Linked DNA regions of Schizosaccharomyces pombe. Each later gene encodes a partner of the first gene's protein in a complex. Each region holds a gene or a part of one and is shown on either strand. Other genes may lie near its edges.

Region 1 (6,263 bases):
GTAGCTTACATACCGATGCGTAGAACTGCGGTGAGTTTCTCTTGCGATCAACAATATTGTGGTATGCAATATGATAAATTAAACAATGTGATATTTATTGTTATAAAAAGTTTATTAGTATCGGTCGCCGATATAGCTAGTAACTGAACCGGGGGAACGAGGCTCGGTTGTATATCTATTTTTTAAAATCCCTCTAATATCTTTTATCAACGTGTATATATGTATAAGGTGTATAAATGACTGCACTTACTAATAAACTAATTTTAAGTATATTCTAACATATGACATATAGTGCTACGCAACGCAGTATATCGTAGCGTAGTAAAGTCTGACACGCTACTATAACATTTCATCTCTTCAAACATTATATTATTATGCTATTCATTATTTTGTAAACATTAATTTTGTTTGAATTGAACCATTAAACAAAAAGAAAAATGATAATTAAGCTTGATTCATTAAGAATCAAGATGAAGGAGAAATGAATGCAATAAACGACAATGAATTTGTAAATTTAACAAGGCGGAACAACGAGTTTTTCGATTTCATTAGTTGATTTTAAGTTGTCGTAAACAATTTAAACCATTATTGTTTGTGACTTGAGTTCCATTAGAAAAGACACATAATTAGACTCGCATATAATAAATAAGAGATTCGAATCTCAATGCATATTATCCAGATTATCCAACATCGCGAACCATTTCAAGCGATGCATTAGTTTGACAATTTTTGGTAACTGGAAGAATGAGTTAAGCATATTTTCCATAAACTTATAGTGAAAGATGATGATTAAAGAATGTTGGTGCTTATGTTTTAAAACGCCGCAGCTTCTCTGCGTTGGTGATTTTCGTAAAGAGGTTTTCCAGCTGTAGAGACTTTCGAAAGCACAACTTTAATAATGCAATTTAAACTTCGCCTTCGACATCCATTTCCCCCAAGGGAATGTTATTATTATTATCGTTGCCACCTCTAAACGCATTTGCTAGCCCCATCATCGCATTTCCTATCCCTCCTAGTCGGGTAAGTAAAAAATCATTCATACAGTTGGTTGAATACACATACCTAAAATAAAAGCTATACCATTCCTGATAGAGTTTCGTGTTCTTATGAGTGCACCTGGACATTCTGGCATGGTTAGAGTAAACTTCAAGAATATTTAACGAACCCATTTCGCAAAGAAAAAGAACATTGCCCATAATAAATAGCACAGAGGCTTCAATTTCACAACCTGTCCATTCAAAATGTTTACCACGTAAAAACATCGTACCGTTTAGTACCAACACGATACCACTTTGTAACAAAAACACTTTTGCCAACTTAGCTAACGTACGCTCGAATGTCCAAAATGGAATACAAACTGTTTGTCAGCGTTTAGCATTGTAACTTCACTTACCAGATGATACAATTAAAAGTAAAACAGCCGAAATAGTGCATGTGGAATAGATGAGAGCCTTATTTAAGTTCAGATCGCCAGATTTGACGCAACCAAAGAGTATACAACAAATGATTAACCAGAGTAACCAAATTATAATCATCATTTCTCTTCTTATGTTGAAAAGGCCAATAGAGATCACCTTTACACATTGTGCCAAGAAAACTACAGTCACCTTTATACATTGTGCCAAGAAAATTACAGTTACTTTGACTGCCTTGATCCAAGTTTCATAGAAGTCTAATGAGTTAGTGACTGAAGGTAAGAATTGACCTATCGTGTCACTTACACCATAAAGAAATAAAAATCATTAGGCAAATAGCACACCACACTCCAAAATATACCCATTCATCTTTGCCATAATCTTTAAAGAGAGCGTCCTTATACGTTAGATAACAAACTGCGGGTACGTTTAGCACAAAGATTGAAATGAATGATAAAAATGCTTTTTTCAACGGAGAGGTAGAAGAATTATCTGCCGTCCCGGAAGAATGGTTTTCTCTATGTGTAATAGAAAGACTGTCTTCACCATAATCCGGAGGAGTCGTAGACTCGTCCGTATTAAATAAGTTAGGGTTGTTAGCTCCCATTTGTTTGGGATCCTTTAAATTTATATTTTCTATATTGTTAGCAAAATTCAATGGTAACTTTAGAATATTTTTTAATGGGAAAGGAAAAAAGAGCGTGCCCTGTTAGACGAATTTATACTCGTAATATGTCAAGTTGTAAACAAACAAACACAACAAAAACATTGTAAATCAAAACAAACAGACACAGCAAATAATCCTTGACACACTCAATTCTTTATCTTATCTACCAACAACACAACACTTACCTGAATATGGAGGCAATGTGCTCCCATCTTCTGAATTGTATTCTGGGAGAGGACCTTTTTCCAAATCAATTTCATTATCGTTTTTTGCACTCAATTCATCCATAGACGACCTCAAGGGGTAATATTTATTCTTCATTTTCTAACGACAGTCTATTATTTAATGATATACACACAAATAGTTCAATTGTTGTGATTGCGACAAACGAAACAGCAAAATCAAGAATATTCACTCTGTAGTCCAATTCCAATCGCTTTAAAGACTTTTTAACAAAATAATAAAATTGTTCAAACAAATTTCCAACTAATTCCTTCAAACAATGGCATAAAAAAAGAAGAACGAAAAAACTGAACGAGGCAGTGAATTGCTTCTGACACATTTATTTTGTCACTGCCCTTTTTATTCACCCCAACTTAGATTTCCTTAAAACGTTTTTGAGAAGCAAAACGTTGTAGTATAATATAATGTCAGCTACGCAATTTGGTATCTGCTTTAACGATTACATAGAACTGCGGTAATTTTTCCTTTGTGACCTATGATATTACAATACACAGGTACTATAAGTAGCAACTGAGTTTAGGTATTGTACTATCAAGTTGTATTGTTATCTATTGCAAATACAACTTATAATTGTGTAAGGAATGAGGTTTAGCAGTAACTCTATTTACGTTGTTTAGATGATTTGGATTTTAATAGATTATTGTTAAAATTAATATCAACATCGTATCATCTGCGGTGCGATATGTAAATGGAACATGTGAACATATAGTGACACTCAACGTACTGTATCATAACTAATCTCGGTGACAGCCTTAATATGATTTTTTGATTTCGTAAATCCTCGCAAAAAAATGTACGAGCTCCAACACAATACCGTGTAAATGGGCTTTGCCTGTACATGACACATTCTTCTGTTCGCTGCATCTTTCTTACTTCATCCAAAAGCGTGTAAAACGAGTCTTCTCCCGATTATAATGTTGTTTTACTCATTTTTTAAGACATTAATAGACACGGAAGTTACCGTGGAATTGAAGGTATGCCCCTACTTGGCTTTTTTGATCGCGTTATGAGGTTAACCAAACTATAGAATGATATGAGTATCCGAGGAATTTTGAAATCTGTTGACCAGTTTTTAAACGTTAAGCTTGAAAATATTTCTGTGGTCGATGCGTCGAAATATCCTCATATGGTATGCTTTGCAAGTTATCGGGAATTGAAAGAGAAATAAATGATTTCTACGATCGGTAGGGTTCGGTTTATTCATTTTATTTAGGTTTTTGATTGATTTTTGAAAAAAGTCTTGTCCAAATCGATTATGTACAACATCTTACATGAGAGGAACATGAATCAATCAGCTTTCCCAACGTATATGCTACATTCTCAACTTTTAAAATCTAGGTTTTTCATTAATTGAACAATTTAAGACTGATCATAAAGTGCGCCTCACTTTCTGAATTCTTCGATCTATCCTTTTTTTTTCGTTCCTACTCTTAACACTATCTCGTGCTATTATTCCAGAGTTATAACTAATAATTTATTAGGCTGCTGTTAAAGATTTGTTTATTCGTGGTAGCGTTGTTCGTTACGTCCATATGTCAAGTGCATATGTTGATACTATTTTATTAGCTGATGCTTGTCGTAGAGGTAAGCCATGATTTGTTAAACACTGAAATTTTAGCCTTATTAACTCACTGGTTTTTAGACTTGGCTAATAATAAGCGTCAATAATTCCTTTGAAAATTTCCTTTTTTTGGTCAATATATTCGGAAACCGTGAACTAATTGCTTATTTAATCGTAGTTCGGTTATTCATCATGTGTCCCATTGCGATTTTTTTCATGCCCGCAAAAGGAATATACATGTGTATATACATCATTTTATTAAGGACCATTGTTGTTTGAAGGTATTTTCCTCCCCTTTCATTCATCCATATTCTTACTACCTTTTCGCTTTTCTTTTAAATCCAGCTTCCCTATTATGCCTGAAACCGATCCCTTAAAATTACCGTTTTATTATCTTCAAAAAAAAAAATTAAGTAGAAAATTGTTGGCGTTTACATGATTTTTGTGTACGGCTTCTTCCATTAATATAGTTGATGAGACTTTGTCAATTATCATAAAATACATACATCGTTACATATCGGTTTATTGCTGCGAGAGGGAATTTTTAGCACTCATGCATCATTAGCAACAGAGCGTTTGTATTACTTTAAAAGATATCCACTCAGATTTGTGTTTTACAAGTCTAATTCTTCTTCCAATTTATTTTACTGATTTCATTTGTAGGATTCAACCGATCTCACCTTTAAGCCAATCAGGCACACTCTCTTTCATCGTTTTTTTAATATATTTTGTATTCTTTTAAGATCTTCCCAGTGAATGATACGATTTTACTTTTTTAGTGTTCTTAGTTTTATTCTAAGTTAATCATGAAAAACGTCTTCTTTTTAAAAATAATTGAAATGTTCAGTAGTAAGTTGAAAGTAAAATCGTATTTATCTACTACATACGGTTGAGCAGCATAAGTATGATATCGCATTTGCTGCCAACTACCTCACTCACCATCCACATGCCATCTATCATATTATATCCCATTTACTTTGACAAGAGCCGTCCACGTAGGTTTCGTTGTGTACCAAAAGACAAAGCAATTTTAAATCCGTTAGCTAAAAATATTGCCGATGTTGTTCGCGATTTGGGATATAAATGTAAATTGGAACCATTGAAGACACATCCTGCAGATTGGGTCAATCCAGGTCGAGTCGAAATGGTATTACCTGAAAAAATACAAAGTAAGATTGTTATTAGTTTTATTTTCTCGTATGCTAACTGACTGTGAATGTAGAAAAGTATGTCATAAACGAAATCGCCAAAGTACTACTTCTTCGCCCAACTGTTAAGACAGATCCTTTATCGTTACCTATTCAAAATGTTCCCGCACGTCTTCCTGAAAATCCTCCTGCATATCCTAAGGGGGTTTTAGGAAATACGATTTTACCTCTTCATTCACCTGCTTTATCTGGCGGTGGTATCTCTGAAAATATGTTCCAGGAAATGATGCAGGAAATGCAAAAGCAACCTGGATTAGCTGGAGGTATGAATCCAATGGCTGCACTTGCTGGTATGGGAGGCCCTGCTCCTCCTATGCCAACTCCCCAAGCATCTTCAAGCCAGCGAAAACAAAAGTCAATTGAACCAGAATATGATTTGGATTTGGAGTAAACTTATTGTTTAAAACTGAAATATTAGGAATATAGGTGCTTTCGACTATTAGCAAACGCTCATGGATATTAGTAAATTTTTTTTCTCGTCATCTTTTAACAAAAAATTTTTTCCTAATAATGAGTATGGATGTAGAGTTTCATTAAAGATGAGTTCATTTGCACAGCACATTCTGCTTTTTTAAGACTGAGTTCTGGTGGCATACTTAATATTTTTCTGTCTTTTATAAATGTTTCGCCTCTCGTTATATCAGAAGCTGTTTCATTGTAGTTTCTTTCATGCCAATTCAGAGGCGAAATTTTTGAATATTCTATCATTAGTAAACCATGTTTGACATAGTCGTTTTCAAAAGTTTAGTGTGAACTGTATAATTAAATTCTTTTTCGACAACAAATAGCATCTTTTTCGTACTTCAATCCGTATATTCAGGTAAGTTTGATGACTCTCTTTCCTGAAAAGTAATAAATCGCTTTAAAGCTTGCAAACACTAACATGTGAAAGGTTAGACTGGGTACTTTATCTAAAATCTTACCTTTCTCTTCTTTTCGTCTTTAAGTATATTTGAACTTGGATTTGCTTGTAATCGTTGATGTGCACTTCTTTCATGAATACCAACCATAGTAACTCCAATAGGCCAAGGTGCATTTCCAATTGTCAGACGTAAATACATATCATTGGCTTTGACAAATTCGTGTTTTTGGCATCTGTAACAAATTTCAGCTATGCTTTTAAAAATATCGTCGTTTAAAGCTTCATCGACTATCAGTTGTATAAGTAC
Region 2 (5,212 bases), 130 kb from region 1:
TGAGAAACACAAAAATGCTGTCTCAAAATATTTTTAAAATTTCCTTTTACGAACAATGTTCAAAAAACCCTTTCAACCTGAGTAGTTAGTAAATCGTAGTTGAAGAGAATGAGGTAATGTGCTAGCTCAATAAGGAAGACCAAGAGATGGAAAGAGGTAATTAATTATCTTCTATTAGACTTATTAATTTATAAAAATATGTACATCATTTAATAAGTATGCAAAATAACCATCATTCATAATTGGAGTATTAGTAAAAGTTTGTCTTAAATGAGAGCGCTAAAAAAAATTAAAAATAAAAATGCTTTGATAATTTAGTCTTTAATTTTCTATACTTTATAAGCCATTGATTAATTTCTTAATTATCTTTGGATTTTAAATTCGTAATAATAAGATCTCAAATTCAAATACTTCATAAACCCATTTACAAATATGTTAGATTAATAACAAATTCAATTTTAAGCTAACAATAGAGCTTATGAATCATAATATTTATTCCGATAACCCTGAAGACACAATTTCGAGTTTTATGAAGTGTCTGAGAAGCCAGTTGATTGCTATTCTGTTCATACAGAAAATTTCGTGATTCATAGCAAGAGGAAAGAAAAAATCTCAAATTTTTTTTATTTTTTTTTAATTAATATTATTACATATTTAGTTGATCGATCAAGAAATCGTTGAGCGAAAGTATTAAATTCATATATTCTAAAACAATACACTGTGGTTTAATTTTATAAATTTAAAATAACTGATCGTTACGAGATCTATTAGAATTTTAAGTCTTCTTATTATTGATATCTACACCTTTTTTGTTTTGAAAATATATAAATCTTATTTTTTTTCTTTCATTCTAATCAACATCCTTTTTTTTTTTTTGAAATTGTTTTAAATCAAATGTGTATTTCATTATATTGTGACTGATAAAAATATGTTTGCGAAAGCAACATTTGAACAGATTGAGTAAATAGGCTATGATATAGTAAATCTTTAAATTTAATTTAATTCTCAATACCAAATAAATATTTCTTCAAAAAGGGTTACAAATAAATTAGCTATACTGTGGAGTATATGATATATCGATCCCCCTGATGTAACAAATATAACATATAACAATATGTGTTTAAGTATGAGTATATTCAGAATACATTGGAAATAACGAAAATCCAAATGAAACATTAAGCATAAATTTCTGATTTCTAACTTGCCCTTTTTATTTTATTTTATTCATCATAGTTGTCTACTATTCCAACACAAGTTATGATGTTAATGAGTTGCTAGAATGTTTATTTGCGAGACAGTAGTATAAATATCCTTTCGTAGCTGCTGTACGTTATAACGAACAACTTAACTTTCTTAAATTTTTCTCAATAAATACTTAAATTTACATTGAAGAATATAGCTGAAAATAAATAAACTCACGATGGCAATTTCTCAGCCTCTTTAAGTAGATTTGCTTTTATAGTCACTATGATCTACTGGTTTAGTTCTGTGTGCTGCTTCGTCAAAGTTGTAAGTCTTCGCTTAATTATTAGCGAAACTTTATTTTATCAGATAGGGATAATATCCAAGAAAATTGTACTACCAAGCTGCTTTGAGAAGATAATACAAGTACTGAGATGAGTGTAAAAAAGTGCCAAGGAAAACGAGCTGCGCCCTTTAACTTCATCTGTCTATATTCTAAATGCCACCTTTAAAACAAAAATCTAACTTGTCTTATAATGTAAAAACCCTAAAGCTTCGCACTTATGGTGACACATTTAGTACAAATTCTTTCTATTCCATACGTTCTTTGCTGAATAAAGAGCGAAGACCGTCCCCTTTATATTCGAGCCGTCATTAATTTTTCATTCAAAAACTAAGATAGTAAGGCACATCGATAACAATCTAAAGTTGTGAAAAAATTCTTATAAAACGGAATTCTTAAATACTTATTTCTTCCAAATTATTTAAGCAAACCTTCAAAAGAAGAATTATCCTTCAATGATTTAAACTCAACAACTATCAAATGAAGTAATTCAAGAATATAACTGTAGTCAAATATATACATCTATATTCCCCACGTCCATAAGATTTGTATATTTGTTTACAACGGGTATTTTTAGTTAGAAGAACGGTTGCTTGTAATGATGAGGAAGGATTCGTGAGCCGGATATAGCTGGAATAATGTTCAATACCTTTTCCTTTAATAGATCTATTTTACAAAATAAATTTCGTTGATTAATAAAACAAAAGATCATTTAAAAATCGTGCGCTTCACAAATTACTTTAATTTTCTTTTGACACAAGATTGTGTTCCTTTCCAAACTAAAAATATAATTGGGTTACTTCTTATATTGATAGCAAAGTTAGCTTCAAAATTTTAAGACAAAAAGGTGTTTTCAATTTGATTAGTTTATTAAAATTCTTGATTTTTTTGTTTTTGCTGTATGTTTTATAAAAAGTATCATGTCACTTGAAATACATGCTGTAAGACTACCTACTTTTGTTTAGCACTACCATACTGTAATACAACTAATACTTAAATCACTTTATCATGAGTCTTGCTGATTTTATGGAACGTAAGTGTCAAATTTTCAATAGAGAATGAAGTGACTAATATAGATGTTCGTTAGAAAGGGTTCAAGTCATTACAAACGATGGTCGCGTTGTGCTAGGTTCCCTGAAGGGATTCGATCACACGACCAATCTTATACTTTCAGACTCATTTGAAAGAATTATTAGCATGGATCAAGACATGGAAACAATTCCTTTAGGCGTTTATTTATTACGTGGAGAAAATGTGTAAGTGGACGCAGAGCCTTGTACTGGCGGTACGTAAATCAATAATCTAATAGTTATTTTTAGAGCAATGGTTGGATTAGTGAATGAGGAATTAGATTCAGAAATAGAATGGACCAAAATTCGAGGTGAAGCAATACCTGACGTTGTGCATTAATACAAAAACCGGACGTTAAACTTCAAATGAGAACAAACGTTTAAGGCTACATAGGATTTGGGTTAATGATTTTTTTGTTATATTTCCTCTTTGTGCGGGCGAATCCTTTGCAAATTTTGTTAAGCTTTCCACGATATATTCATACCTTGCAGCATGTCTTTTATCAGGAAGCTATTAGCTCGTAGAAAGAAGTGAAAATTCTTTCTTTATTTTTTTAAAAAAATATGACTGAGGTTGTAGATTAATTCTGATGACAAAGAGTTGACACTTGAACGAAAATACTTAAAAAAATGGTTTAAAATACCGAGTTCGAGGACATCGGTTCTTTCAGAATTTAAAAAATTCTTGGTTTCTTGTTAAATTTGTGGATCACAAACTCATTTTTCTTCTTATTTTGTGGGTTTCATCTTTCTTAAATGATTCTTGGGAACGTTAACATACCTTTGTTTCCTTAATTTGATTTATGCACTTTGATTTTGAAATTTGTGGTCAACTTGTTTAAAGACTTTATATTTATCATTGATTTTTGTTATTATATGGAAAAAAACATCACAATTTATATCATTTACTGTGCATAACATTCTTCATTTTTGCTGTCACGCTTAATGTTTACACTGGAAAATTTCTCTACCTTGAGAAATATTTCAGCATCATGGTCCAATTTACAAAGATCATTTGAGTTAAACAAAAAAAATGATTTATTATATTTGCTGCTCATATTTTTTTTTTAGTGATTTTTTATTTTGGCATCGTTTTGTGAACTTACTTTCCAAGCTTTGGGATTATCAAGAAAAAATTTTTGTTGAAAGAAGAGCAGAAAAACTGTTTGATAATTAAATGCCTTTGCAATTTCATTTTCTCAATTTAGCAAAATAAACTGAAATTTCTGCAGCAGTGACTTTAGGTTACATTGTAACCTACAGTTTACAACGACCTTTGTGCTTACAGCAACTTTTTTTCAATTAATTTTTTACAGCCATACAAAACGGACTTGATTCCTTTATTTTTAGTTTATTAAAGCCGTTAAATATGAATTTGGTTCTCCCTGGACAGGTGGTCGCGAGAGGGGCTCCTAACGGTGAAGGAACGGTAAAGAGAGGAGATTATATTATTTCCACACGAACTGGCATCTTTGATCCAGAGAAAAATTCTGTAACGTACCCAAGAAAAGTTGAAGAGACAGCCGTTTTACCTAATGTCGGATCTATTGTTTTAGCTCGCGTCAGCAGGATCAATGCTCGTCAAGCAACTGTAAACATCTCAGTCGTTGACGATGTCTGCACCAAAGATGAATTTCAAGGGGTAATACATGTGCAGGATATTAGAGCTACTGAGAAAAATAAAGTCAAAGTGCAAAATTCATTCCGACCGGGTGATATTGTCAGAGCACTTGTAATTTCACTTGGAGACGGCTCTTCGTACTTTTTAACAACAGCTCGAAATGATCTTGGTGTGATTTTTGCTCAGTCTAGTGAAACAGGAGAGCAAATGTTTCCGGTGGATTATCAGCATATGCAAACAAAATCAGGATATACGGAAATGCGTAAATGTGCTAAACCTATATTAGACGAATAAAATGAGGGGATAAAATTGCTTTGTTTTGATATAACCTGATAGTTTTTTTTCCCTCTCGGTTCGTTCTTTCCTAACAAAAAAAAAATTCTGAAATTGTTAGAGATTTTATGATACGAATATACGGAACACGGATAAAAATAATATTGAATATAGAAATATTGGAAGTTCATTAGAATGATGATTGAGGTGACTTGCTGTCGAAACCGATATCATTTTCAATTAGAAGTCAAATGTATAGTTTTATAAGATATAGAGAACCTTTGTAATTCAACTGAACGGACAGGAGCTCTGAAGTTTCTTAAAGTTATTTACTTAATGGAACTGAATTGGTCGGTTGTTTATAAACTCTAATTCATTAACAAAAACATGAATAAGGAGTTTCTAGCAATAATATGTGTTATGTTTACAACTTTCTAAGAAGGTTACTGTATTAAGTTATTTTGTGTAATTTAATATCGAGGATTGCACCTTTCATTGGAGGCTGTGATATCCTGAAATAACATTTATGATCACAGATTTAAGGATGAAGTATTTAATGACATGAAAATTAGTATTCGTACACCTCTCAGTAACTTTTCAAAACTACTTTCAGTTTTTACATTAAGGGATTGGATGTACTTTTTATACACAGTTTTATAAAATACTAGGTTGTCTCTAAACATCAAGTATCATCTCAATCTTTACTTTCGGCCATTAGACTGA
Region 3 (5,794 bases), 330 kb from region 1:
GATCGGTCTTTTTTCAATTAAGTCTATACCTAAAGGCATATTGGAAACTTGCTATAAAAGTTTGAAATAGAAACAATTCTCAGAATATTACTTGAATACGTTCTCTGTTTTACTCCCTTTTTTTTTTACTCACAAAGAATGTCACACTGCAGTATCGAATTGCTTTATTTGTTCCTTTGGAATAAAAAGGTAGATTTCCTTTTATTACAGCAAAAGATAACAAGACTAATAATTAAGCGGCTTTGTTTTTACCAGGAATTGCATTTTATGACACTACGCAAAATTAGAAATGTAAAAAAGCGCTTTCGAAAATTTCCTTTTACACTTTCATTATCAGGATTGACAACCCTATGAATTCCTCCGTTAAAACTTCTCACCAGCGGAATTCGATGAAGGTTGATGTTAACAGTATAGACTCAATAGCAACATTATACGAAAAATCATAATAAATTGTGAATAACCTTTTATTAATTGAGCGAATAAACATAGAGTAAATTTAATTAAGATTAATAATTATAACTAATTTTGAAGAAATTATTATAAAGAAAATAAATACATTGAACATCAACACATCCCCTTCAATTCATATACAAAGTGCATTTCTCGATTTTAGGACTAACTTGAAACACAACGCACAAACATTTCCACAACTTGATCTTTGGTTTTGGCGTGAAGGTTGTTAGTGCTAAGCTATACATTACTCCTTATACTTCATCGGTAGCAGGCATGGAGTGCATTTGATAAGCTTGATTGTTGGATGATGATGGACTGAAAACATTACCAGCCGCATCATACGAGGTACCATCAAAATTTATTGGAGGTGACCTATTTTTCGATTTGTCGGGTCTATTTGTATCGCCCTGCGTTGTTGTACCCGCTGAAGACTCACTAGCTGCATCCCAACTAATAGTTGGCTGCGATGTAGAATACGACGGAGGAGGAGCCAAGCTTCCAACCGCAGGAGCGAGTCTCCATTTCTTGATGTTTGCTTCAATAAATACATATCCTGCTTGTCCAAGATTGACATGTAAGGTACAAGGTCCAATTGCACCAACCGTAGGATACAAATTTCGATATGTACACGGCAGTTCTGCACACCGACGACCGTTACGTGTAAAGAAGATCCGATTGCACTTCGGTTTGTAACCAACACCAATTACATCTCCCTGCTGGTAGAAAGAGGAGTACGGTTTTCCCGTAAATGGTGAATTACTGCGGCGTGTTCCATCCGACACATAAGCAGTAGACCAAAAATTCCAACCAGGCAATCGAAACGGCGGATATGGCTTGGTAGCCAGACCGATGGAAACCAAGGTATCAATAGGTACGTCTAAAAGTTTTACTTCAAAATAGTATACTTCATTGATCCTCTGCAAAGGCAAATTGGTTTGCATGCAACATTCTTCGTTGCCCAAAAAAGACAATTCAGTTTTATTTTTAACATAGCAATTATATTCCTGATTTGGGATAAAGTGCCATGCTAATACGCCCTTCTCTTGAACTTGTAGGAAGTCAAGCAGCTTTGCATCCGTGTTGACGTTAGATTTCATGGAATTCAACTCAAACTCACGAGCTTGTAAATACCGTTCTTTCCCCATATCATCCAATAAACTAAATCCTTCTTCATCAATATGTTCATTCTCTAACGCTTCGTCGTCCAACTCACCAGGATTGGTGTTTTTCAGCAAGATCCGTCCATGTCGTGTGTATCGCAGTAATAAGATGACTGACAAAAGACAGATTAAAAGAACAATGACAGCGGCTAATGCAATAAATATGAAAAGGATTGCTAAATTAGGATGGGTGTTTGAAGATTCCTGTAATCTCAACTGGCGAATCTGATCGGGATGCATGACTCAAAGACGCAAAAAATAATTTTTTATATAAGATTTGAAAAAGGAAAATCTGCGAGTGTATATTTAATAGAGAAATAAATAACTGAGAGTAAAATCCTAGCTATAAGAGGATATAGTATAGGGTTAAGAGAAAAAGGATTTTTCTCTCAGATATGCAGTTTATTAAGCACGAGATACAATATTTAAATCTAACGTAGATGCAAGTATCTCAAATATTGCACTAATATGGTTTTTGCGAATGCTCAAGGATTGGGCGAAATGGTATACTTGTTTCAAGTTTACAGGAGAAAATACAAACTCCTTTAAATAAATAAGATATAATTCTTAAGATAAAAAAGAATTTATTCCTGAAGGAGCCACAATGGCCTGTTGTAAGGTAAAATCGAAAATCAGCGGCAATTTACCAGATAATACTGCTCCGTCACAATTATGCTTATAAGTTTTCTGTTTTTACAACCATAGATTGGAATTAACCAAATTTTTATTCGAAAATTTACTTTGATTCGTTCAATGTTTGCTTCCGGATTTCAGATGGTAATGGGAAAAGGAAGGTTACGAAGCACCACGTAAAGGCCACATGGATACTACTCCGTCCATTAACCAACAACACCTACCATGTCAGGGTCTCGAAAACAAGAAGCAATAGACGAATTAAGGAACTCTCTTGATGTTCCTGCTGATACTGCTCAATCTGTTTTGGAATCATTTAATTGGGACGTTCAGGTATGTGACACGGCAAGCATTCATTTTCAGTATTCGATAGTGATCAATTGCTTTGATTGAAAAATTCCAAGAAAGTTGTTATTTGCAACTGAACATTCATGGAATCCTCTGGTTGTCGTTTATTTTTCTAATCGAATTTTCGGTGAATGTTGGGACTGAGCCATTTTGCTAACTGTTTTATGATTAGGAAGCGATCGAGAGTTTAACTGGAGAATCGTCAAGAGTCGATAGAAATTCAAAGCTTGGATTAAGTTTCGGCGTCTTTCAATCTGTTTTTTCTTTGCTATTCAGTGGGTTGCACAAACTATGGATGATTTTGTCAAGGGTTCCTCTGATTTCAACATTTATCCCCATTTTTGGTACTACTAAGCGTGTCCTTTCTCCTGCAGACACTGCGAACAAGCTGGTTCAGAATTTAGAAGAGCAATACGGTACTGAGCATATTGATTTTTTTACTGATGGCGGCTACATGGAAGCGTTGACACGTATTAAGCGTAATTATGGAGTCGCATTGCTTTTCTTTACTAGCTCAAAGAATGATGACTCTGAGACGTTTTCCAGGAGTGTTCTTATGAACCAAGAGCTAAAGGAATTTTTAAATCGTCGAAACATTCTTTGCTGGACTGGTGATGTTTGTGAGGATGAGGCTTTCCGAGGTTCTCGTCAATTCCACTGCACTAAATTTCCCTCCGCAGTCCTTGTTATGTATTCACCTCAGCTATCTGAGCTTGTAGTTGCCGCCCAACTCCATGGATGTCTTGATAGTTCCAGCATCATTACCAATCTAACTAATGCTTTGGCTAAACATCTTCCTTCTCTTGAGCGTTTCCGTTCGGAGAGAGAAGCACGAGAAGCTGCTCGCGAGTTACGACGTCAACAAGACAATGCCTATCAAGCGTCCCTTGCCCGCGATCGCGAGCGTCAAGCTTTCGCGAGAGCAGAAGAAGAGCGTCTTGCAAAGGAGAAAGAAGAAAGAGAAATCGTTCAGAAAAAGAAAAAACAATATCGTGCTTGGCTTGCTTCTAATCTTCCACCGGAGCCATCATCTGAAGATGAACCTGCTCGTCTTTCGATCCGTTTTCCCGACGGATCTCGGGCTGTTCGAAGGTTTAAGAAGGATGATACTGTTGAATCCGTTTACAACTATGTGGATTATATGCTTTTTGAAAAAGAGGAGCCTGAAGAATTCGGTCGCGCTACTTCATCTTCTAATCCGGTCACTCCACCAAGTGACTATAAGCATGATTTTCATTTTCAACTATATTCTTCTTTGCCCAGAGCTTTGCTGAAACCATCAGTGGCTATTTCTACTAACAAAGCCATCTTTCCAAATGGCACTGTGGTGGTGGAGCTGGATGATTGAAATTAACAAAATTGTTTGTCTTTTTAAATCATAATGACAATTTACGACTATCGACGTTTCGAATCCGTTTTTAAATACATTTCTAAGATTTGATGTATGATGAATTTATTTTCTCTTTTCTATTTCTACTACTGAATTAATTGTTGTTTATGGCATGAATGTCTACTGGACGCATTGACTTTTTATTTTGAGCAAACTTTCAATGCACCCTTTAATCTGAGTACATAGTCGATTTCCACTAGATTTTCTGTTCTTTGCCAAAAACCTTTTCTATGCATGTCATCTTCATCTCTGTTTTCTACGATTTTCTTTGCAATGGAGGACAAAGGCTAGTAATTTAGGCTTTGTAGCATAAAAGTTTTGCCAGCTTTCGTCTGTGATGAGTGAGGTATGTATTATGAACATAAATTTGTTTAAAATATAAATCTTTCTTTATTGCAATTCGAAAAAGTCTAGTGGCTTTGTTTCTAAACAGCTTAAATTTTACCTTTAAACTTTCATTAATGTTAAATTTTTATATAATTAATATACAAATTAGTGCATTAGATTCACTTTATGTCAAGCATTATGACCCCAAGCATGGAATTTCTCAACGTTTCTAACAAAATTGGAAAAGTAAAGCGGTGAAATTATTTCCTTTCAGACTGAGCAAGTTTATTTTACATTCCTTTCTGTAGCGTGTTTTATATTCCATTTACTGCTATGTCTTAAGTCATTCAAATTGAACCATATAAGGATACGTTCGATCACGTTACAATCATCGTAAAAAGGAGAATCGTCAAGTTGAACCTGTACTTTATTCTTTTCTGGGCAATAGCTGATAATTTACCTGGTTATTCTAGATACAAAGAATGTCCAGTCTTCAAAAACGCCCTGGCCCAGGTAACTCTAGTCAACCGACGTAAGTCTAGCAGGAACGAGCAGCATCATGAGTTTTGCTAACTTTCTTAAATAGTGAAAGACCAAGAAAAGAATCTATCCTTGATCTTTCTAGATATCAAGATCAACGAATTCAAGCCACGTTTACGGGGGGCCGACAAATTACCGGTATTCTAAAAGGATTCGATCAGTTGATGAACCTTGTACTTGACGATGTAGAGGAACAGCTTCGCAATCCTGAGGATGGTAAACTTACTGGAGCTATTAGAAAGTTAGGTCTTGTAGTCGTTCGTGGAACAACTTTAGTTTTGATTGCTCCCATGGATGGTTCTGAGGAGATACCGAATCCATTCGTCCAAGCTGAATAAAAAGCCACAAGCCCTTCATTTGATGTTTGACTATTGTTAATAAAATACTACAAGTTAATTATTATACCGCATGTGCATGTTTTGCTTTGAAGGTTCAAAGACCCAATTCGGAAAAGTGTAAAAGCAATATGTGTTTAAAAGAATAAATTCGATTATTAAGATGATTTTCTCTACGCATATGTTTAAATTATTTAATCCATGTTTATTCCCAGTTAGCTTGTTATCACATTGCTATATAATTTATCTAGTCTAAATAGATATATGCCATTGAATAAAAGTATATTAATGCCAAAAAGTTTAGTTCTTTTCTTCCTTCAAAACTGAAAATGAGAATTTAGGTAATTCCTGGGTGCTTTCCATTGTAGAGAGATTCTCCCCATTCTCTTTTGGCAAAACCGTGAACGAAAACTTGGGAAAAGGTTCCTCTTCTAGGGAACCTTGTTTGTCAGTTTTTTCGAGCGTCATAGTGGCATCTTGCTTATGTTCATTCGTGCCCTCAGCAGAGGGTTTCTCGACTTCAACTAGCGAAGTCGATTCCGATACTGAGATAGGGCTTTTCTCAGCTTGCTCAAAACTCCGTTGATCAATAGCAACGTTCGTCATCT
Region 4 (5,956 bases), on another chromosome or scaffold:
CTTGTATTCCAACATGTAAACATTCCTTTCCGAGTAGGATGTTGAATACGGCCAATGTCCAACAGTAGTCCCAACCTGCTTGGTAGTAATAAATCACGTATCCATTGTCTTGATTCCATGATGCTTGGAATAAGACTCTCTCGAATAATGTCTTTTTGATCAGCAGTGTCAATAGGATTACACAAAATATTCACATCCCCAACGAGAATGATTTTTCGATTTCCTTCCTTTATCAATCTTTCAATTCTTTCTCGTAAGGCTTTATAAAAGGCCCGTCGATATTCTAGTCTATTTTCTCCAGAGTTTACTGGACAGTAAACACCGATTAGGATGAACATCTGAAAATCTAATAATATACACCTTCCTTCACTATCAATCCAATTAGCAGTTTTTCTGTCAATGTCTTTTGGGAAAAATCCTATCTTTTCATGCTCCGGTGCTTCTGAATATGAATATTTTTGTCCTCGTACTGGCAGGATGCCAGTAATTCCCTCTTCTGCTTTCACTGGAATAGCAACATCTTTTTTTACATAAAATCCAACCCCACTATAGCCTTTTCTGATCTTAGGAAATGTAAAATAACTGTCGAATCCCTCAACAACTGCATATTGTTGAGGAAAGCTGTCTTTCTGCATTTTCAATTCTTGAACACATATTACATCAGCCTGTAACTCTTGAAATATCTCTTTGTAGGAATTTTTTTTATTCCATGGAAAATAATTGAATGGATTCTGTATACCGTTCACATTCCAACTTAGAATTCGCATTCTTATAATTTTTACGTAGAGAAAGTGTGCGAAGGTAAAGGCGACAGACTTTTGAATTTACAATTGTTGACATAAGTTAATCTGATGGAAAATAAAATGCATTTGTTTAATTCGAGAATGAACTTTTTCTTTTCTTTTCGACCTTCTCCCTATTGAATGTTGATTTTCAAAAAAATTCTAGATTGACTAATATTGAGTTACAACTGTAAACAATCTAATGATTCTTTCTAAATATATGTCATTAAACGAGTATACATGTTGTGCTAGAAAGACATTATCTCAAACTGCTGTTTAAAAAAGCTATGTTTGGATACAAGGATGTAAATTGGGGTATTAACAGGTATCCAAAAAATCCATTAAAAAATAAAGAAGGTTTAGTTTTTCGTGTAAAAAAATATGATTAGCTCTCCATGTAAGTTAGGACTATTGACAATCTTCATATACATTTAACCAACAGTAATTACGAAGAATCATTAAGTTGAAGAGATTCTTCTGAGTCGGATTCAGAGCTATCTTCAATTGGGTTTCCCGTAGCATCTGTAAGATGAATGGTTTCTATTTGAGGAGATTCTGCGTTTGCGTCTAATGTATCATTCACTTCTTCGAGGTCCTCCACATCATCAATATTTTGCTCAACTTCATTTTGTGCTATATCCTCCGCAATTCGTTCTTCTTCTAATTCGTCTTTTTCTTCATCTAGAGGAGTAGTGTCATGCGCGTCTATTTTGGCTTTCTTTCTGTTATCAACATCTGATACGTTAGGGAGTTTCAATCGTTTTTCTTTCAAGGCAAGCTCATATGCTTTAATAGTTAGAAGAAGTACAGAGTAAGAAACATACCTTCGAGATGTTTTTTTAACGTTTTAGAGAATTCTGGATACTCAATTTCATCGAGCGCATTCAAAACGTCTTGAGGCATAAGAATTTTTCTGTTATTATTCGTAGCAATTTCCCCAGAACTAAGTAACGTTAGTCTTTATTCATTCATATACAAAGTGTTTCCAGAAGAAAATAAAATTGGCAATTATATAATAAATTCTTTCATCATACAAGCCCTTCAATATGGTTATATAGTTATATAGATTACATACGCGGATGTTAGAAAACTAACAAAAAGAGTTGCTGAATTGATCATAGCCTTGAGAGCTTCTTTTTGTACAAGACTCTTTTCAGGTAAGACACCTTTGACTAATCGCATAATGATCGATCGAGGAAGCGCCAGATCATCCAATTCGGAAGTTTCTTTCGATTTATCTTGATTCATATTGATTTTCCAGCCGCTAGATCTTTTACAAACGCTGTATACAAGTCTTTTATAAATCCAATCCAAATATCATCCTATGGTCACCAAACGATAATCACAGAGAAAGGCGGTTGCTTCTTTTTAGCTAATTAATGTATAATAAATTCACTGAGTCGCCTATTTCTGTCAATTTTCACTAAACACTATCTGTGCGTTATGAGCAGAATCCGAGAGAGCCTTAGAGTTGAAACATTTGTAGAAATGCTATCAAATTTCTTAAAACTAAATAGTTGTACTGTTTTGTTTATATTAAATGAGTAAAAAAAAAAGTTTTTTAGCGTTGTTAGAAATAAATAAAGCTTTTTGATAACCATACAATACATTATTAAAGGCTCGATTTTTGATTGTAATTAATAGATAAAAACAACTAAATTTATTATCTTTTTTCAGAACACTCCAAAAACGTTCAATGAACGTTCTAAGAGAATAATAGGCAATCTCTTCTCAGTCGAAATAGCTCAGAATAGGGATATTACAAATGGGATTGGCAACATTTTTACAAGTTCGATTTTGGAATTGATAAAAATCATCAAATTATTTATTTCTGTTCTTCGCAAAATGTTGAGCCTTTCAATGAACTAATCCGCTTATGATGCTGAAAAATTGTTAGGTAGCTTGAGTATAATTAGATTCCCTTTTTACAATCTGTGATCAAAAATATACATGTTTTTGTTCTTTAATTTTTGTGAAGACCGACTTCCCTTTATAACTAGAAAGTCAGATTACAACATTCAATGATGGGCAAGTTTAGAAATGGAAAAACCAAATAATTTAATTTACAATTAGCAAAAAAACATAACAAACGAATAACATTTAAACTTCAGAAGCACTTTTAGGGTTAAACAGGGAGAATTTAGGATTCCAGATTTGACGACCTCAGAGCACTTGCTTCTAACCATCTCCTCGAACTCGTTTTTTAAGGAAAACACTCAAATAAAGTCATCAGGCGTTTATAAAAGAAATAGAAAGTTAAATCTAAATTAAATTATTAGTTTATGCTACATCCAAATAATAGCTGAATGAATCAAGCTACACAGATTATCCCATTCACAACTTCTGGGTCACTTGTTGACTACGTAGACAGTACGGTGTTTTTTCCAATGTTTTCCTTGATCTAACTTTACCTTTTAGGAAAAGTGATTGTTGTTTTACGAGATGGAAAAAAACTGATTGGAATTTTAAGGTCCTTTGATCAATTTGGTATGGTTTGCGTGAATAGGCGCATAAGTGAGTTTACTAACTGTGTAGCAAATTTAATGTTGCAATACACGATTGAGAGGATCTATGTGGATGATATGTACGGGGACATAGACAGAGGTGTGTATATTGTTCGGGGCGAGAACGTCGTGCTTTTAGGTGAATTGGTAAGTTTCGTTTGTAACATAAAATATTCGAGCATCTTTATAAATTTCTTTGAACGTGGGCTAAATATTTCGAAAAGGATTTGGATAAGGAGTATGATGCAGTCAAACAATTGCGACGTATGCCTGCTGAAGAACTGTATCCTTTGGCGAAGCTTCATGAAGAAGAGAAGAAGAAAAATATACGTGAGAAGGGCAAGTACCTTCATTCTGTAGGCTTTAGTGTTGACGGCGGACATGATGATTTGTATTAGACAACGGTTGAACAAATTTATCACAATATTGCTATACCGTTTGTTTACAGTCACGATAGAAAGCTATCTCGACCGCTGTTTATTCCCCTTTTAAATGGATGTAATGTAATTTTTAAGACATGAATCGTCATAATCCCATTACCGTTCGTTCAAAGTTTAGTAATCATTGTGCATCTTTTAAACATGCAGTTTTTATCTTTGTCTTTTTTTTGGGGTCCGTTAATACCAGAGATTCGTCAAAGTTCTGCTTAGAAATTTTGAAAGTAGAGGATACGCGGTCAACCGCTGGGTCAATATCAGATGCTGGCCAAATCCATTCTAGTAAAACCATTACAAGATAATCTATAGCTATGAGTAAACAAAATAGCTTACCAGCCCATTGCCCACATCCGTAATAAAGCTTTAGACGGTCTATTAGTCTAAGATTATTCTCTGAACATATACTGTCGTAAACCTTTTCTGTCCTTTCCGCGACATCTATCCACGAGTACATTTGCTTAACCTCCTCATGGAAAGTTTCGGTTTTGATTTTATGGTCAAGATAATCAGTAATAACACTCGAAAGTGTATCAGCTAAATCATCCTCTTCAGGACGGGCGAATCGTGTCATGTGGGAAGGCAAGACTTCAGGAACACCTCCCACTTTTGTAGAAATCACATAAAGACCACAGCTTGCGGCTTCAACTAAAACAGTGCCGAAAGCTTCGGTCAAACTAGGATGTAAATAAATATGACCCCTGACCATCACATCACGAACTTGATCATGTCTTACAGAACCAAGCATTTCAACGCGATCCTGTAACATATACTTTTCTCGCATTTGTTCCAAATCGATTGACTTGGGTCCGTCGCCAGCAATAACAAATCGTACTTTAGGGTGTTGCGCACAAATTCTGGGTATAACTGCGATTAAAAGATCAATGCCTTTGTTATAGTAAAGCCTTGAGATTACTACTATGGTTACTAAAAATGTTAGATTTTTTCCTTAATAAACGAAAAAACTCACAGAAATCTTTTGAAGCTTTAGATGGGTCTGGCTGAAAGTTTTCCGCTACTAAGGCATTGGGAATCACGGATACTCTTTTTGGATTTAGAACTGCACGAAGCACCGTATTTTCGCGGCTTCTTAGTTAATAATTTAAATACTTGCTCATGAGATACTTACCAAGTGTGAGAGACACAAATAACATGATTTACATCGCTCATCGTAAATTTTAATAACTTATTTGTAACGATGCTGCCAGCATCTGCAAAACCAAACAAAGAGTGGTCGGTAAAACAAGTTTTCAAGCCCATTGTACGAGCATGCAGAATAGCATCATGGCATAGAAAGGATAAACTGCCATGACCGTGGACTATTTCGATATTTTCTCTAATGACTATATTGCGGAAAATTGGAAAAAAGGAAAAAAAGGAAGGAAATGTTGTTTCACGATACACAGTCTGCATTGTTTAGTTTCAACGCTATGCGCGATCAAAATTTCAATTAAAAACTTACATGTAACGGCACGTAGTAAACGGTTAGCCCATTAGTTAAGTATCTGACGCCAACTCGATCCTTATAAGCATGTGTGATAACTAATATAATGCATGTTAGAGCATGTACAAGTTGACATTATCATAAGGCTAAACGCATACCAATTACTTTATGCCCTAAATCAATCAATCTTTGAGAAAGCTGAAAAATATGGCTTTCAATCCCCCCAGGTTGAGGAAAGAAGAAGTCTGATACCATTCTAAGCATACAAAGTTAGCAATCTATTGAACGTTGGGATTTCAATCTAAGAGAAAAGGTGATTTATAGAAGCTTATTGAAGCCAGTATATTATCATAAGAATGTTAAAAAATAAAAAATGCTATAGGCTTCATTTTGTACTAAGAAAATCTCCTTAACAAACAATATTGATTGTGAAAGTTGCATTTCAAAACATACGCGACCCTGTATCCCATTTTAGATGAATTTTAAACTTTTTTATTCATTCAAAGAAATTTTTGGTTTTTTTTAATCTACTTTGGGAGTTGTTTACTCTTCAATGGCATATTATTAGAAATTTGGGTGAGTGTAAGAACAACAAAATTAGTCCCAAATGAAATCAGCCTTTCACAGTCAATTGAGGTACAGAAGTGTTTTGAAAGTTAAATAATAAACATATTAATTTCTATGAAAAGCAATGACTTAAAATCGTGTTCTGACATCAAAGAAGTAAACAGAGTAGGATTTAACAATTCTTTAACGTATAAGAACACCCTAAGTTTACTTTAAATAAGACTT

Evidence for each region.
Region 2: lsm2 (region 1) and lsm8 share a complex: the UniProt entries of both Schizosaccharomyces pombe proteins name them as parts of the heptameric LSM2-LSM8 complex.
Region 3: lsm2 (region 1) and lsm7 share a complex: the UniProt entries of both Schizosaccharomyces pombe proteins name them as parts of the heptameric LSM2-LSM8 complex.
Region 4: lsm2 (region 1) and lsm1 share a complex: the UniProt entries of both Schizosaccharomyces pombe proteins name them as parts of the heptameric LSM1-LSM7 complex.

Annotation. Positions count from the first base shown.
Region 1 is NC_003421.2:2,141,901-2,148,163, reverse strand, and holds lsm2 (U6 snRNP-associated core protein), read left to right. Parts: upstream 1-3,178; 5' UTR 3,179-3,239; coding exon 3,240-3,299; intron 3,300-3,352; coding exon 3,353-3,454; intron 3,455-3,806; coding exon 3,807-3,909; intron 3,910-3,967; coding exon 3,968-3,993; 3' UTR 3,994-4,215; downstream 4,216-6,263. Other genes in the region: wtf meiotic drive antidote Wtf23, read right to left, coding at 906-1,012, 1,063-1,125, 1,166-1,357, 1,394-1,672, 1,722-2,051, 2,268-2,403; putative signal recognition particle subunit Sec65, read left to right, coding at 4,833-5,055, 5,109-5,485; U5 snRNP-associated protein Prp18, read right to left, coding at 5,898-5,972, 6,018-6,263. UniProt on the Schizosaccharomyces pombe protein: Component of LSm protein complexes, which are involved in RNA processing and may function in a chaperone-like manner. Component of the cytoplasmic LSM1-LSM7 complex which is involved in mRNA degradation by activating the decapping step.
Region 2 is NC_003421.2:2,275,369-2,280,580, forward strand, and holds lsm8 (U6 snRNP-associated protein Lsm8), read left to right. Parts: upstream 1-2,509; 5' UTR 2,510-2,533; coding exon 2,534-2,558; intron 2,559-2,612; coding exon 2,613-2,781; intron 2,782-2,844; coding exon 2,845-2,935; downstream 2,936-5,212. Other genes in the region: exosome subunit Csl4, read left to right, coding at 3,965-4,510. UniProt on the Schizosaccharomyces pombe protein: Component of the nuclear LSM2-LSM8 complex, which is involved in spliceosome assembly. The LSM2-LSM8 complex plays a role in the biogenesis of the spliceosomal U4/U6-U5 tri-snRNP complex by accelerating prp24-mediated annealing of U4/U6 di-snRNA.
Region 3 is NC_003421.2:1,813,631-1,819,424, forward strand, and holds lsm7 (U6 snRNP-associated protein Lsm7), read left to right. Parts: upstream 1-4,735; 5' UTR 4,736-4,793; coding exon 4,794-4,843; exon of another isoform or gene 4,844-4,897; coding exon 4,898-5,189; 3' UTR 5,190-5,294; downstream 5,295-5,794. Other genes in the region: SPRY domain membrane protein, specificity factor required for ubiquitination Ear1, read right to left, coding at 705-1,853; dsc5 (UBA/UAS domain-containing protein), read left to right, coding at 2,472-2,579, 2,767-3,942; nucleoporin Nup60, read right to left, coding at 5,487-5,794. UniProt on the Schizosaccharomyces pombe protein: Component of LSm protein complexes, which are involved in RNA processing and may function in a chaperone-like manner. Component of the cytoplasmic LSM1-LSM7 complex which is involved in mRNA degradation by activating the decapping step.
Region 4 is NC_003423.3:1,282,217-1,288,172, reverse strand, and holds lsm1 (mRNA-decapping complex subunit Lsm1), read left to right. Parts: upstream 1-2,956; 5' UTR 2,957-3,088; coding exon 3,089-3,152; intron 3,153-3,200; coding exon 3,201-3,269; intron 3,270-3,317; coding exon 3,318-3,433; intron 3,434-3,510; coding exon 3,511-3,684; 3' UTR 3,685-3,835; downstream 3,836-5,956. Other genes in the region: AP-endonuclease Apn2, read right to left, coding at 1-767; DNA polymerase epsilon subunit Dpb4, read right to left, coding at 1,228-1,568, 1,607-1,725, 1,858-2,030; pig-A family phosphatidylinositol N-acetylglucosaminyltransferase subunit Gpi3, read right to left, coding at 3,848-4,647, 4,691-4,806, 4,850-5,127, 5,183-5,262, 5,323-5,419. UniProt on the Schizosaccharomyces pombe protein: Component of the cytoplasmic LSM1-LSM7 complex which is involved in mRNA degradation by activating the decapping step. The LSM1-LSM7 complex loads onto the 3'-end of single stranded RNA.